Linked DNA regions of Lepisosteus oculatus. Each later gene encodes a partner of the first gene's protein in a complex. Links are inferred from orthologs where the notes say so. Each region holds a gene or a part of one and is shown on either strand. Other genes may lie near its edges.

Evidence for each region.
Region 2: the proteins of bcap31 (region 1) and fis1 are in contact, whole or in part, in a crystal structure (PDB 8XWX), measured with the Homo sapiens proteins. The link is inferred for Lepisosteus oculatus from reciprocal best matches to the Homo sapiens genes BCAP31 and FIS1. Residues at the interface, in NP_001132913.1 of Homo sapiens: Asp224, Leu227, Glu228, Ala231, Lys232, Ala235; in NP_057152.2 of Homo sapiens: Arg52, Val56, Glu59, Glu60, Pro63, Lys64, Lys89.

Annotation. Positions count from the first base shown.
Region 1 is NC_090697.1:76,378,895-76,387,393, reverse strand, and holds the start of bcap31 (B-cell receptor-associated protein 31), read left to right. Parts: upstream 1-4,633; 5' UTR 4,634-4,835; intron 4,836-5,047; exon of another isoform or gene 5,048-5,146; intron 5,147-6,534; exon of another isoform or gene 6,535-6,610; intron 6,611-6,815; 5' UTR 6,816-6,839; coding exon 6,840-6,931; intron 6,932-7,649; coding exon 7,650-7,750; intron 7,751-8,159; coding exon 8,160-8,304; intron 8,305-8,499. UniProt on the Homo sapiens protein: Functions as a chaperone protein. Is one of the most abundant endoplasmic reticulum (ER) proteins.
Region 2 is NC_090698.1:7,461,706-7,470,136, forward strand, and holds the start of fis1 (mitochondrial fission 1 protein), read left to right. Parts: upstream 1-4,422; 5' UTR 4,423-4,484; coding exon 4,485-4,529; intron 4,530-6,886; coding exon 6,887-7,019; intron 7,020-7,114; coding exon 7,115-7,191; intron 7,192-7,669; coding exon 7,670-7,775; intron 7,776-8,188; coding exon 8,189-8,286; 3' UTR 8,287-8,431. Other genes in the region: cytidine deaminase, read left to right, coding at 811-817, 1,473-1,595, 2,517-2,628, 3,212-3,269, 3,749-3,862. UniProt on the Homo sapiens protein: Involved in the fragmentation of the mitochondrial network and its perinuclear clustering. Plays a minor role in the recruitment and association of the fission mediator dynamin-related protein 1 (DNM1L) to the mitochondrial surface and mitochondrial fission.

The DNA.
Region 1 (8,499 bases):
GAAGGAGGTGAGTCTTTCAGCAGGGAAAAGAAGCACCTCCCATGTGATGCCTTAATGAAAAGAAAAACTCTGATGCTACCAAACGTGTTCATCATTATTTTTCTAATCAAGATTCCATGTATTCTTAAATCCTGCTTTTGGCTTGCACTCTAAACTCCAGCTGATATCCAAAAGGTCGTCTCTGAAATATCCACGTGTACTGGACAATGTATGACAGGGAGGGTATGTCGGTTCTGCCTAAATTTTATTGCTCTTTCTAAGCAACTACTGCATTCACAATAGCTAAAACGGACAGGTCAGGGGTTCAGGGGTTGCAAGTGTGCAATGGAAGGGCCAGTTGTGTGTTTTTCACATCTCCACTTCAAAAACGGTCAACTGGGACAGTTTCCATCTGGCTTCCAAACTGTCAAGCGCTGTGGCGTGCTCCTTGTGGAAGTGGCGTGGTACTGTCTCTTTTGTCAGGGTTTGTATGACTCCAGAACAGCAGAAGGGTTGTAAAAGACAGGAGGCCGTTTTAGCTTGAACTACTGGTTTGGCCTCACCCAGCCGCTCCTCGAATGGCCCTGCCTTTAATGCCTTAGCCTGGCGGTTGGTTCCAGGAGCAGAGGGGAAATTCAGCGTGAAGACGTGCCACCTGTTCTCTGTCCTGAAGGCAGGCCCAGTGCATGCGATTTGTTTTTGTATCTGGTTCAAATCCCCCAGCGATCTCCTTTATTCAGAACTAAAGAGAGGTGGTTGCTCTAACCTGTCTGTCGTGCTATACCACTGGCACCAGCTGCGTCACGGACAGTATGAGGCAAGAGCAGGTGTTGCACTTCTGCATCTCTGTTAGTGGAGAATGCACTTTGCCCACTCGACAGTGTTATGGGTCAACGAAACAGCTGTCGCTTTTGTAAAGCTATGGAGTGAACATGGGTGTCTCGAGTGTATGTTTTTAATAATAATGTCTTATAATCTGAACAAATCAACAAAGAACAGTTTTGCTGCCTAAACCATTTCGAAGTCACCTGTGCAAAATCTTTATTGTAAAACCTAGCTCTCATTTCAAACACTCCGGACCTGAACTCCCCAGGTGAACTTTTCTAGCAGGCTTGGAGATGGTGGGCTAAGTGCTCTGGCTGGAATGACCTTTATGCTGATGTACAAATTCTGGAGAAAAAAAAAAATCATCACCAGTAATGTTCAGCATTGTAAAGCACTCCAAAAATACCTTTTCTGGCTCTCATTTCTATGTATTGATGTGTTGTATCTGCTCCTCCAAGAACGAGAGAGAGAGCAAAGACGTTTGACCACAGCTCTAGTCTTGTGGTTTGGGTACATACAGCTACAGCGTTGTAAGAATAGTTCTTGTATTTTTCTGAAGTTTTATACTAAAAAAAATCCATACATGATAATACAATACAATACATACAATGATAAGTTAATACTTATGTCTTAACTATTAAAACAGCGCTAGTACCTCAGACCGATGCTTTCCAGTGTACCGCAGTGTTTCGTAGTGAAGTAGCTTTTTACAGACGCTCACATGTAATTGGCCAATTTGACCAGCAGAGGTCTCTGTTTTACTACATTCGTTCCTATACACTAAAGGCCATTTTCGTTTGGGTGTTACTGAATAACTTAAATTACTTTGGATTTAATAATAATAATAATAATTGCTTACACTTATATAGCACTTTTTTCTGGACACTCCACTCAAAGAGCTTTACAGGTAATGGGGATCCCCTCCACCTCCACCAGTGTGCAGCCCCACCTGGATGATGTGACAGCAGCCATAGTGCGCCAGTCCTCTCCCCACACAGCAGCTCTCAGAGAGCAGAGTAACGAAGCCAGTTCAGAGAGGGGGGTTATTAGGAGGCCATGATTGGTAAGGGCCAATGGGAAATTTGGCTAGAATGCTGGGGTAACACCCCTACTCTTTTCGAGAGACACTCTGGGATTTTTAATGACCACAGAGAGTCAGAACCTCGGTGTTATATCTCATCCAAAGGATGGTGCCTGTTTACAGTACAGTGTCCCCATCACTATACTAGGGCATTAGGACCCACATGGACCACAGGGTGAGCGCCCCCTGCTGACCCCACTAACACCTCTTCCAGCAGCAGCCTTAGTTTTTCCCAGGAGTCTCCCATCCAGGTACTGACCAGGCTCACACCTGCTGAGCTTCAGTGGGCTGCCAGTTGTGAGCTGCAGATATGGCTGCTGGCTGATTTGACTTGGAGACACGTGTTCTGCTGACAGTTGCATGCACACAGCTCTCCAGACTATAAGCTGCACAAACATGTGATGCACGAGGGAGAAACATATATTTTCAATACACTACTATCACAGTTTCTGATGCCATTTTAAGAAAAGTGATCTATATACTATGTATATATTTACACAAAATTAACTGTTCAATACTCTTCTAGTCAAATTATATTTTTTACTTAAGAGGGTATACAACCGAAATTACGTCGTCAACACAAATTAGTTTTAAAATTATATTTTTCTAACTATTTTATTAACTCTATATTATTAAACTCAAACGCAATGCAAGACCATTGTTTTTGTCCACTGGATTTCACCTCTGTTCTATTGTACTTAGCAATTTTGCAAAGATGTGTTTCTTTATGCAAACTTACTCAGTTCAGGTACAAAAAAATAACACAGCACAAAATTCGTCAGATAAATTCTTTGCTTTTGTGGATGCTTATTCAAACAGACACTGTTTTGCAGATTTTGTTGAAGGAAGATTGTTTTACTTGGTGAACCAACACAGGGTTTACTATGTCTGTTACAAATGGCATCATGGTTAAAAGACATTTAACCTTCAGTTTCCCTGACTGTGTCTGGGTAGTGGCCTCTCCTCATTTTTCAAATGACTGGCTTGGAAGAGCTGTGACAGAGCAGCCTTCTAATCATTTATATTTAACATTAATATATATATTTTATTCTGTAACCTGTATATTTGTAGAGCCCAGTGAACACATTTTGTAGCTGCCAGTATTTAATCCTAGACTGAATAAGCAACTTTTAGAAAAGTATTTTAAGTGAATCCTTGAATATTTATTGACTAGGGTCACTTGACATTTCCAGAATGCTGGCCTGTTTTGCAAGGTTTGCAGTATTAGGTCTCTTTAGTGGTGCTTGCAATTTTACTGACAGTATTTGTCTCTGATTTGTCCTTATCTGTTTATGTCAAGACTTGGAACTGTTTCTGGAGTGAAGGAAACAGCTGTTCTGTAACTGTTATCATTATTGTTAAATTGTTTTTTTTTTCTGTATTGCTGAATGTAGTTAGACCTCAGTGCTTCTGTCAGATCACTGGGATGCAAACATAATGTATGCTTTACTGACACACAGAGACTTTAAAACCCTTTTCAGAACTTGCATTTGAAGGAGTCTTGTAAGAAAGCCTTTAATAAAAAAACAGCTTGTTGTGTCAAACATGTTTTGTGTAATATGTTTATCAGATTTTCTACCCCTGTTACATCTTAGCAAAGGGAAGGCAATTTCTATCAAGGTGACAAAGTATCACAATCCTGGCCAGAGGACGAGGAGGCTGGGACCCCCTGCGGACTGAGGGGGGCCCAGGGGCGGCTGCAGGGGGAGGTGGGGAGCAGGAGGGGTGCAGGAGGCGTGTGTGAGGGAGAGGGGGGGACCTCGTCCGGTCTTTATAGTGCTTCAGGAGAGGAAATGACATCACGAGTGACTGCTAATTACTGACAGCTGAGTCTGATTGTACTGGGCTGTTGTCATCCATCCCAAACTTTCGTTGTGAACTCCATTCATTAAATTAGTCTGTGCAGCACAGGTGTGGCTCCTTTTCTGTTCAGTTGTATGGATAGTATATTTTCTGCTTTGTCAACCTTTTCTCTGTGTTTTTCTGCCTCCTATCTGGAATGTACAGGGTGAATTAATCCTTTCAAGAGTCATTTACCCTAATTCAGTGCTTATATGAAGGAGTACTCTCTCAGTGGTGCCTACCAAGAAAATCTTCTTTCATCCATGCGATGTAAATTATTGTCCAGGAAAAGATCATTTGTTCCAAACCCCTGAATAATCCTTATTTTTTATAATCCCTCTCATCACTTACGTCATTTTGCTGTTCTCCCGTCATTCACCGTGGGCTATTAAAGCAATGCTCCTGGCAAGAGCACTTTGTGTTCTCTGAAGCGCTGGTTTCCTAATTCTAATGTTCTCAAGTACAGCACGTACACATGATAAACGTCAGGTGATGATTTCAGATCCTCACAACTCTGTGCGTTTCATTAGAAAAAAAAAACTTGAGCCGCACCTGCAAACATCCTGCAGGATCAGAATTCCGTATCCTGTAGAAATATTTGTTTTTTCTCTTCGGTAAATTTTAGGATCCCTAAAACAGACCGTCAAGATAAATGTATGGTTCTTGTTGACAGCGTTGTATAACATCTGTAAGGGGCAGAACATACATAGGTGCGCATTCCAAAACACGTATGCACATACTAGAAATTAAGAAGTGAACCCCGAGAAGTGGAAATTAAGATTCCGCATTCTGTTTATACAGCTCTTCATTGCCACCATGAGGTGATACAGCAATACTACCATTCAATACAGTATTTTTATTTTTTGGCAGCTTGCCACGCCCCCTCGTTTTTCTCCTTCCGGGGTTATGTCGTGTCTCTGGCTTCTCCTTCCCGGGTCAGAGTTCAGTGTTTGCACTGTATGGTCTGTTGATGAGCTGGAGTTTGCAGACAGGACATTCCCGGAGCAAAACTGAGAACAGAGTATTTTGTATTACAATACAATAAGGACTCGACAACCTAAAAGCTCAACGGCGAAAACAACGAAAGCTCATTCATCAGTGGAGAAAGGTGAGTGTCACGGCAATGACTCTGCGTTTGTGAGTGATTTAATGATGAAACGATGGGAGTGAAGGTTTAAATTAGCTACGTCGCAATAAAATGTTTTGTGACGTTTAATCACCAAGCCACTTAACACTATAATTAATTATGCCTGTTTATGATTATAAAGCTTTTTAATTTAATCAGCTAAATTACTGATCTCATTGCATGTAATGTCGTCACTTACTGCTGACCAATCCGAAATGTCACATGAACGCATAAACGCAGTTCTCTAAAAAGGGCGTGGTGTGGTTGACTACCTTCATACTTCGAATACAAAAGTAAGATATTGAAACAGCTGTGTGCATTTTCATAATTTTAATATTTCACCACCAGTATCGTGATCCGAAGAGAAGAGTTCAGGAGGCGTGTTCGCTGTTATCAGTCGCGCAGTTTCGACAGTGCTCTGTGCTGCGGACTTCAGCCCGGAACTGTAGACTTGGCTCCTGACGGGATATATGTTCAGTGCCTGGAGTCGCTACCTTTCTCGCCCTGTGGGAACTGATACTTGGTTTCTATCGGTGCAAAACAGGTGCCCAGCCATTAGAAAAACAAAAGACAAACATCCACAATTTGCAGTTTCTCTTACAGTGTCGGAATATTAATACAATTTCATAGACGGCACAGACCTGTTTATGCAATAAGGCTAAAGAGGGATATTTATATATATATATGCGTTAGTGTAATTTAAAATTAGGGCGACAGCACCTGGGATTAGGGCGGATACTAACTAAGTTTAACGTCTCTATGCAAATATGTGAAAAGGGTGACCTGTTTGAAATAGGCAGCCCCTGATGAGGGTTAATTTGAAAGCCTGCTGCTAATGTTTGAAGCCAGCCATGGCGCTGTGGAAGGGGCGGGAGCTTTGGTGCGTATGTAGGGGGGTGGGGCTTATAATGTTACGTAGTCGGATTGGACAGCAGCGTAGGGGCGGGGTCTGTGGTGTGCGGTGGTTTGTTTTCCTGGGCTGAGTCTAGATCAAACTAAATCAAATCCAAGGTGCCCAGCATTTCATGATGTTGATATTAAGAAATCTGTAATGATAACAAAAACAACTCCCAGCTTCCAAATCACCCTGCACCTCACAACTGGCAGCCCCCTGAAGCTCAGCAGCTGTGAGCCTGGCCAGTACCTGGATGGGAGACCTCCTGGGAAAGCTCAGGCTTCTGCTGGAAGAGGTGTTAGTGGGACCAGTAGGTTGCGCTCACCTTACAGTCTCTGTGGGTCCTAATGCCCCAGTTAAAGACAGGGGCACTATACTGTAAAAAGGCCCAGATGAGACGTAAAACTGAGGTCCTGACTATGGTCATTAAAAATCCCAGGGAGTTTCTCGAAAAGACTAGGGATGTTATTCCAATGTCCTGGCCTTTACCAATCATGGCCTCCTAATAACCCCCATCTCTGATCTGGCTTCATCACTCTGCTCTCCTCCCCACTGAGAGCTGCTGTGTGGGGAGAAGACTGGAGCATCATCCAGGTGGGGCTGCACACTGGTGGGGATGGAGGGGATCCCCATTTCCTGTAAAGCGCTGTGAGTGGAGTGTCCAGAAAAGCGTTATATAAGTGTAAGAAATTACTATAAATTATTATGAGATTTCTTTAACAAGTGAACACCCTGTTTTCCTGTTCCGTGGCCTGACAGGAGATGGCGCCGTTGCACTGCTGTGGGCCTGAGACTGATCTCCTGTGGCAGTTGTGCTCAGTGGAGCTGGGTGTGAACAAGCCCATTACAATGCACCCCCACTGTGAGTTGTAGGCAGCAGTAATGAGCACCCTGGGCCCTGGTTTTCGCTAACGCCTTTTTAGCAACCCCAGAAAACAGGACGTGCTTTACAGCTGTGGCCCCAGCACCCTTCTTGATGGCTCCCTGTGGCGATCTGGCCTTCGCAGCACCTTGCCCCCGGCCCCCCCGTTCAAGGGTTGTGACGGTGCCTCTCGTGTCCCCCGCAGCGTGAGAGCCGACAGCCCGAGACGATGAGTCTGCAGTGGACGGCCGTCGCCACCTTCCTGTACGCGGAGGTCTTCGCCGTGCTGCTGCTCTGCGTGCCCTTCATCTCCCCGACCAGGTAACCCCCAGCTCGACCGCTGCGGACATCTTCCAGCAGGCCCAGCGGAAAAACACCCGAGAGCCCTTTCCTGCTGTGTGCTTGTGGACCGAAGGCCAGAGAATTGTCAGAAAGGACAGCAGCTCCCGAGCCTGTCCGGTCAGAGAGCGAGCAGGACTAAAGGACAGAGGAGCCAAATTCTGGGCAAGGGCGGACTGATTGTGCATCATCATTCGCTGTGAAAGCCTCTAGATGTTGTGCATCAGAATTAAGCGAGAGTGCTGAGCTGCGATTGAAAGGCTGTTAGAATGGAAACGGGTTGTGCATATTCATCTGAATTTAATGGTTGAATGTTTCCATGGTGGTTAAGGTGTTGTTCCTTGTTTGCCCACTTGCTCATATTGTGGACTTACTCCGTGCTTTCTGTCACTATACAGCTGTGGGGACTGAAGCAGTTGCCTTTGTGACTTTGTTAGAAAGTACAACACAAAAGGGAACCTATGTGGAACTGCCCCTTCCCTTTTCAGAACAGCTTTCAGTTTAAGAACCTGTGCATTGCTAGTGTTATGGGGCAGCTTGCTGCAGAACTCAGCTCTTCCCCTGGTGGGCCTTGTGCAGCTCTCATGTGCGTGCGTGTGTGTGTGTGAGAGAATGTGTGTGTGTGGGCGCACGTGTGTGCATGCTCAGAGTTGCATGCTGCAGCCAGTTCCTCACAGTCTTGTCTGTCTCCCTCTGGCAGATGGAATAAGATCTTCAAGTCTCGTCTGGTGAAGGCCATCACAACATACGGCAACACCTACTTTGTGGTGCTGATCCTCATTCTGGTCTTTCTGCTCATTGGTGAGTGTTGCCGACCCTAGTGGCAAGGAGGAGGAGGTGCCGGGGCGTCCTACCCTACTACAGGGGCTCCTTGATTGCAGTTCTGGCTGTTAAAGAAGTAACTGTAGAGCAGGGCTGCTGAAGGTGTGACTCTAAAACCGGATTCTTCATTAACTGATTGTTGTCAGGATCAATTTAATAATTAATGAGCTGGTTATATGAAAGCGCATAACAAGGGTTGCAAAGCAGAGGAGGCGATTTGGCCCGTTGAGCACGATAAACAGTGGAAGTCTGTGTCAGGGAGTCTGTCCCCTGTCTCTCTGATGTCTTAGGCACTGACATCACCCTTGTGTCTGCGAGTGATGTTGGGCAGATGTGTGTGAATTAGAAACCTGGAGTTCTCTCTCTGACTCCGTGTTTCCGTGCCCAGATGCCGGGCGGGAGGTGAGGAAGTACAGCGTGACGGAGAAGGTGGATCTGACCAACAACCCGGTGGCTGTGGAGCACATCCATATGAAGCTATTCAGGGCCCAGAGGAACCTGTACATCGCTGGATTTGCTCTGCTGCTCTGGTTGTGAGTATCTGGTTGTGAACACGCCCCTCAGCCCTAGCCTCCTTCATACTGAGGACCACGCCCCCCAGCCTGCCTTATTCTCACAGGTGGCCACGCCCCCAGCCTGCCTTATTCTCACAGGTGGCCACGCCCCCAGCCTCCCTTATTCTCACAGGTGGCCATGCCCCCAGCCTCCCTTATTCTCACAGGTGGCCA
Region 2 (8,431 bases), on another chromosome or scaffold:
TGTTATGCCATCCCCAACTCTGCCTGTGCTTCTTGTCTGAAATCAACTTTAACGACAGGGGTCAATGGACTTTAAACTGTGGTGCAGCCTGACACACAAGGACCACACACAGCAGGAAACACAAAAGATCACTTAATTCGAGGATTCAGGAGAAAGGTAGGAAAAGTTGATATGCACTTATAATGTGTTGCTATGTTAATAGTGTCCATTTTTTCTGGTTGAGCTCTGAATGAGACCGATTTGGTCAAATCTCATTGATTGTTTAAGGCTCTGAAGTTCTATTGGGATTGGTAATTAACATCTGCCCTGAGCTCATTTGTGGGTAACTGGGCCTTTTTCAGAATACACAGAGCCTTTTTTGTGTGTGCAAGTGCTAGAGAGATTTCCACCTGTGTCTCAGCAGTGCTAACTGGTTAGCTTTTAAAAGATGTTTACACAGAAATAAGGGAGCACCAATGTAATATGTAACCTGAGAAAAGAATTCTAGGAATGTATTGTTAAAGTTTTATTGAAACATTCAAAGTCTCCGAATCAGCCATGAAACACCAACAACACAAGTGGAAAATACAGTTAAGTGCCTCTAATACTGAGAACAGGGGGAATTTCTTTACACATAGGATTGCAGGAGTCTGGAACAAGCTACAGAATCAGGTTGTTGAAACAAATATTGTAGCAACCATATGAGCATGATGATCTGCATAGCCCTGTCCCATTTGTAACATTCCTGATGTTCTAATATACTATGTACAGTTGTTTATTTTCCAGGGAAAGTGAGTTTTTTTCCAGCACCAGAGGAAGACATTGAGTAACATGACAGGTAAATTGCTCCCATGGGGACGAATAAAGTATTTTGAATTGAATTGAAATCTTCCACCCATCCAATTTTTAACTGCTTTTTCCGGCTCGGGATCCCCAGGGGAGCCGGAACGTATCAAAACAAGCAGAGGGCACAGGGCAGGGTGCACCCTGGGAGGGACGCCAGTCCATCGCAGGACACACACACACCAGGGCCGGTCTTCCCAGAAACCAATTGACCTACCAGTATGTCTTTCGGACTGTGGGGTGGAAACTGGAAAACCCGCAGGGAACCCACTGGGAGAACATGCAAACTCCATGCAGATAGCAGCCCAGGAATTGAAGCCAGGCAAATGATCTTAACATATTAAATATTATTATAACAAGCAGGATGTTTGAAATAGGGAATCACGTAAAAGGAATTCTGGACTATATATCCTGATCTGAATCTCATATAAATCTCCCATCCGTGATCTTTATTTATACGTCAGCGTTGCTCATATTTTCTTATGATAAGGGCCCAGTAAAAGTGGGGCGTTACACTTCTGAACAAGCACAGCCGCGCGGTGTGGATGAGCTCTGAGAAGAGAGGAAGAGGCAGACGCTCTGTGCCTTTAACCGGCGGACAGGTTGTCCGGCGCAGATGCTGTGACACGCGCCACTCTCTCTCCGCACAGACTCCGCCGCGGTCAAGGAGCTGGTGTCCAAGTGCCTCGCGGCTCGCGGCTTCGCCTACTGTCCCTACAGCCACTTCCCCGTGGGCGCCGCGCTGCTGACCACAGAGGGCGCTGTGATCACAGGTGAGAGCAGGGGGCGGGCTCAGATTGCACGTCAGTGTGCGCTGCTGGCGATAAGTACCTTTTAAGACAAAGCGCGCGATGACTTTGCTTCTGTTGTTACTGTCAGAGGTGATAGTGTAGTAGCTACCGCATTTCGCTGGGAAATACTGGAGATGGTGCTTATAAAGAAGTGACAGTGCAGGTTTGACACATCTATCAGTCTTGCCTGATCTATCAGTCCAAACATCCATACATCCTACCGAAACAGTAAACCTAGAGATCTCCTCTCATAGAAGGTTATCCACTTCCAGGGGACATCTGTAGTGTTGGTTTCACTAGTTAGTAGCAGTTTGACTGTGGCAATATGAGCAGTTGGCAGTTTGCTTGTGGGTAACAGCTCAGTAGCTTCTTGTGGTTTGAATCACACTTCCTGTTGGTGTTTGTTATTTATAAATACGCAAACCACTGCGTATAAACCCTTGAGGCTTCCTGAATCGACTCGATCAGCCATCCGAGCCGCCAAGACACTCCTCCAGATCGCTTAGATTGGAAAGATTGCCTTTCCTCCCACAGCCGAGGAACATGCCGGGTTTGCTGCTACTTCACAGCCCTTAGTGTTCCCACTACTTTGGACAAGATGGGTCATTCCAATGAAATACCATTCTCTGACATTCTGATCCCCCCCAGGTTGAGTAAATGTGCAATAAAAGCAGCTTTTCTTCTTCCTAAAAGAGTGCAAGGCTACAAATCTGTGATGTTGTGGTGGCCAGCAGGAGGACCTAGGCCCATAGAGGAGAGTAGTTTCCTTCACTCCTCTCCTCTATGGATCTCCTTCACAAACCTGACGTCTTGTGTGTGTGTGTGTGTGTGTGTGTGTGTGTGTGTGTGTGTGTGTGTGTGTGTGTGTGTGTGTGTGTGTGTGTGGGGGGGTGTCTGCTACAGGGTGCAATGTGGAGAACGCCTCCTACGGACTGTCGGTGTGCGCAGAGAGGACAGCTGTGCAGAGAGCCGTGGCAGAGGGCTACACCGAATTCACCGCCATCGCTGTCACTTGGTAATCAGCGCCGTCTGTGGTAAAAGCCATACCAACCGGGTGAGGGAGAACTGTCCTGGTTTCTTGGAAATCTGTTCATACCTAGCGACCTGGCCACTTCCTTTTGCTAGACACTTTTTCTCAGTAAACCTCTCTGTGGTCATTAAAAATCCCAGGGTGTTTCTCTAAAAGAGTTGAGGTGTTACAGTACCTGGCGTCCAGGCAAAATTTCCCATTGGCCTTTACCAGTCATGGCCTCATAATAATCCCCATCTCTGAACTGGCTTCATCACTCTGTTCTCTTCCCCACCGAGAGCTGGTGTGTGGGGAGAGTACTGGTGCATCATCCAGGTGGGGCTGCACACTGGAGGTGCTAGAGGGGAGTCCCCATTACCTGTAAATCACTTTGAGTGGAGTGTCCAGAAAAAGCGATACATAAGTGTAAGGAATTATTATAAAGTATCCATGTTTCTGCTGATATGCTCCAGTGTCCTATCTGAACAAACCAATAAAAGGCGCTCTTGAACATGAGTGGCTGGGCGGGTCTGCACCCTGCTGAGCAATTGCTTCCTCCTCATAGTGCTCTGGTGTCTGTGCTCTGCAGTGACGTTGAGGACAGCTTCGTGGGACCCTGCGGGGCCTGCAGACAGGTGCTGCTGGAGGTACGTGTGTGAGTGAGGGCTGTAGGGTAGGTGATGGAGGGGCTATTCCCAGCTCATGGGGCTTTTCAGAGCTTTCATGAGTACCTGGGCTATACCATCCATAGGGAAAGTGACCATTATGGAGTACTTGGAGCACATCTCAGCAGAGATGCTGCTCGAAATGGAGACAGTCTCATGGGCACGTCTGACACAATGCACTTTACAAAAAAATGAAAAGAAGTTCACTTCTTTGCTAGCTAGCATAGTTTGTTGACCAACAAATCTTATCCAATTGTTTCTGGAAACATTTTCAACAATCAGGCCGACACCCACCGCCCTTGGTGTAGTGGTCAATCGTTCTCAGGCCTAAACAAACTGCTCAGGTCCTTGTTTCAGAGCTGGCCCTGAGGCAGTGGGTTAGAGTGGAGCGCCGGGGATTGTGGATCGGTTCGGCTCTCCAGACGCAGTGATAAAGCCCGCTGTGTTCCCTGTGTTGGCAGTTTGGCCAGCAGTGGGATGTGTACCTTGTCAAGCCGGACAGCTCCTTCAGGAAGACCAGCCTGCTGGACCTGCTGCCCCTGGCCTTCTCTCCCTCGCACCTGGGCAGGAAATAACACAGCCCCTCCCCCTGCTCAGGCGGAGCGGTGGCTCTGTGGCTCAGGATCTGCACCTGTGGCTGACTCAAATCCAACGGCCGGCAATCCTACTCCGTTGGGCCCCTAAGCAATGCCCTTAACCCCAACTGCTCCAAGGGTGCTGTATAAATGGCTGACCCTGCACTCTGACCCCAAGCTTCTCTCCCTGTCTGTGTGTCTCATGGAGAGCAAGCTGGGGTATGTAAAAAGACAAATTCCTAATGCAAAAAATTGTATAGGGCAAATAAAGTGATCTTATCTTATCCTTCAACTCTGGACTCTGAACTCCTTACCCCATCACTAGGTAATCAGTGAACCCTGTGAACCCTGTGAACTGAGAGTCACTAAAAATGGACTTAAGAAAAGAAATAACAAAAATTAAGAATTAAAAAAAATAATTAAAGAAATAAAAAAAAATAAAATGATTGAACTTCTTTCAATGTTTAAGTCTTTGTTTTAATTCTATATGACACGCTAAAGTCCGACGGTTCTATCCAAAGCGTATCCTCAAGCAAATTGAGGTCTCCTACATTTACTAGCATTACGGTAGCACGTGGTCTCACTGGACTTCCGGCAGTTGCGTATTACTGTTTCCGGAAACATGGAGGCTGTAGTGAGTGAAGTCGTGGCTCCTGAAGATTTACTGGTGAGTGTTTCTCTTTCTTACGAGTTGTTTCCTGAAATGGTCAACGAGTGTGGCGGAGTGTTTGAGCCCGGTGAGGCTGTGTCGGGGATTACTGCTAACGAGCTGCGGGTGAGTTGGGGAGCCCAGAGACACGCCCGTCTGTACTTTTCACAACGTCAACAAACAAAGATGGACGATAGGAGTTTTCTGTCAATTGGTTGAAACAACGTCACAGAGCTACACGGTATATTTACAGCAGTACAGCGTTATGGAGATACGACAAGATATACTAATGTACATGTTTAAATCAGATGTAAGCGATTCTGTGCGTGTCTGGGACTCAGTTGTGATTGGATACAACTTTAAAATGCAAAGGTTAAGGTGTTTTGTAAAACTAATGGAAACAAAGTTATGGCTTATTTTATTTATATTTTCATTGATGTGTTGTTTTTAACCTTTGTGTTCCCAAGTACAAGGCTAAACTCTTCTTACGTGTCATCTAAAATAAATCTGTTCTGACGCGAGAGCTCCCCAGAATTATGACTCCGGAATTCGCATCAAAGTCCATTGGACACTAAATCTGAAATAGTTTTGCTTACAATACATAATTCCACTCACTGTTACTTATCTCCGAGCTTTATGATTTAGGCTTGTGTTAGGTCTTAGACTTATATCGCTGATTGCGTAATATAACATAAATAAGACGTATTTATCCGTAGTTGTAGTGTGTGATCATTGTATTTAACTTGGCATTACAAGAGTTTTGCTCAAATTTAATGAGGCAAAGTAACTGTTTCAAGTATTATAAATCGGAAAAGATGGCGTGCACATTTTATGAGAATCCGAGTCATCTTTATTTTCTCTCGCTCATTTCCAAACTACTTGATTTGTAATATCAGCTGGTACTGTTTCGTAGTCTTTACGGACAAGTACGTGCGTGATCCAGGTTCACTTGTGGCAACGACGTGACGCAATTTAGAATTGTGCTTTTCCGGTGTCACACAGCATTATGTCAGCTTCAGGTAAATCTGTTTTTGCAAGTTTCCTGCTGTAAACATTTGTACCACTGAAATCACTGTACAGTTTCAACTGACACTAGTACTCAGCTGATAGTCTTTATAGATAATAATAATAATAATAATAATAATAATTGCTTACACTTATATAGTGCTTTTCTGGACACTCCACTCAAAGCGCTTTACAGGTAATGGTATCCATTGGTCCCAATGGTCCCCTCCACCACCACCAATGTGCAGCATCCACCTGGATGATGCGACGGCAGCCATAGTGCGCCAGAACGCTCACCACACATCAGCGATCAGTGGGGAGGAGAGCAGAGAATTAAGCCAATTTATAGAGGGGGATTGTTAGGAGGCCATGATTGATAAAGGCCGATGGGAAATTTGGCCAGCCCTATTTGGTACACCGCTACTCTTTTCGAGAAACACCCTGGGATTTTTAATGACAACAGAGAATCAGGACCTCGGTTTTACATCTCAGCCGAAGGACGGCGCCTGTTTACAGTATAGTGTCCCCGTCACTACACTGGGGCATTAGGACCCACATGGACTGCAGGGTGAGCGCCCCCTGCTGGCCCCATTTACGCCTCTTCCAGCAGCAACCTCAGTTTTTCCCAGGAGGTCTCCCATCCAGGTGCTGACCAGCCTCACACCTGCTGAGCTGCAGTGGGCTGCCAGTTGTGAGTTGCAGGGTGATATGGCTGCTGATAGGCTTCTGAAGCCTGAAGTGGGTGTCAGATTGTTTTATAAGGTTGCATAAAAATCTTCTCGTTATTCCTCATGTTTATCATTGCTAGTTAACGCAAGTGACACGAAAGATTATGTCATCCTAACCAAATACAATTTGCCTTCTTTCACCCATTTTCTATCCGCTTTATTCAGTTCGGGGTCACGGGGGAGCTGTAGCCTATCCTGGCAATCATTTGGCCCAAGGCGGAGTACACCCTGGGCAGGACGCCAGTCCATCACAGGGCACACACAGACACAAACACACGCACCCACACCAGGGCCCATTTTCCCTGAAGCCAGTTAACCTACCAGCATGTCTTTGGACTGTGGGAGTAAAGCCATTTAAACATGGGGAGAAACATAAAAACCCCATGCAGACAGCACCCCAGGAATTGAGCCTACAGTCCCAGTGTTGCAAAGTAGTAGTGGTAACCAGTGTGCCACTGTACCACTGTGCCGCCCCATAAGGTTTACACGGATAGCATAAATCCTGGCTGTGAGTGTTGTCCGTTGAGGTATACAGGCTTGTCTGCCCCGTTGTTGTAGTCATGTGGGGCAGGAGGGCAGCACTGGGACACTAGGAATCCGCCAGCTTGGCTGACGTTTCCCCTGTGGTTTCCCTCCCGTTAGAAGTTCGAGAAGAAGTACAATGCGGAGCTGGTGAAGGGCAGCGTGTCAAAGGACACCAAGTTCGAGTACGCCTGGTGCCTCGTCCGGAGCAAGTACACGGACGACATCAGGAAGGGCATCGGGCACCTGGAAGGTGAGTGAGGAGGGAGCAGAAGAGAGAGTCGAGTCTGTCTGGCAGCACGTCCTCCAGCTCAAGTTGAGTCGTTGTTTCTTTTAAATCTCTTCCAGAGTTGGTTCTTAAGTGCACAAAGGATGACCAGAGAGACTACCTGTTTTACCTGGCAGTGGCAAACTACAGACTGAAGGTGAGCTCTTATCACTGTGAAATAATATTAGTGTGTGTTGTATGGAAAATATTATACAATTTTATGAATGGAGGGAAAGGGAAACCAATAAACATGTTAAGGTATACTGTAAATATTGAGTGTTGTGCGTGGGAGGCTTGAGGCCTGTGCAGTCATCCTCCCAGATGGGCACTGTTGAGCCCATCTGCGAGATCCCAGTGTCTGGGATGGGACACTCTGGCTGAAAGCCCTGCCTGTTGAACGGGCTCCCTCATCCAGCCGCGAGAGGGGGCGCCATTGCACACGGATGGAAGAGAAGTTCAAAACGATTCGATTCAACTGGCTTGTTTGGTTTGCATGTAGCTCATTCAGCAGAGGGTCTCATCCAGCTGTTTCTTGAATGGAACCAGTCTGCTGCTCATCAGCCGATTGAGTTAAACGTGTTCTTAGTGTTGTGCGGAGTGGCTCAGTCTCCTTGTGCTTTTGTCCCCGGGCTCAGGAATACGAGAAGGGTCTGAAGTACATCCGCACGCTTCTGAAGAAGGAGCCAGGGAACACGCAGGCCCTGGAGCTGGAGAAGCTCATTGACAAAGCCATGAAGAAAGGTGGGGGCCCCACGGGGAGGGGGGGTTGGGGTCAGGGGATCAGATGGGTACAAGGATGCTAGCAAAAAAAAAATCTGCCATTATTGGTGTAAGAATTTAGACTACAGGTTTCATCCGAAGGATTTGCTGTGCTGTGATTCTTCTTGTCTTTTTTAAAAATGAGCTGTTGTTTCAGTCTTTCTCTGCCTAACAGGGCAGTGATCTATTGAGGGCATGGAAATAAAGGACGTAGTACTCTGTGTGGTTGGGCACAGCACAGGGAAATACATCTGAAAGACTTACATGTAGCACAACTACTGGTACAGCAACGCTGCTGTTCTTCTCCCTTAGTGGGGATTAGCTGTACGTCAACAGGCCGGTTACACATATGATTTGTGGCAATTTTCATTTTTGGTTTCTCTGTGGTCCTGCAGACGGGCTGGTGGGCATGGCGATCGTCGGGGGAATCGGCCTAGGCGTGGCTGGGTTGGCGGGTCTCATCGGACTGGCTGTGGCCAAGACTAAGTCCTAACAAGCAAGAGAAGGATGTGCTCCCGTGGAAGATGGCCACACCCTTCCCTTTAAAAACCACCTCCCCACCCCCACCTCTCTGCTGTAGAGCACTCTGGATCTGGGCCGAACACCAAGCAGCAGAGCAGCTCGTTGCAGTTTAGAGG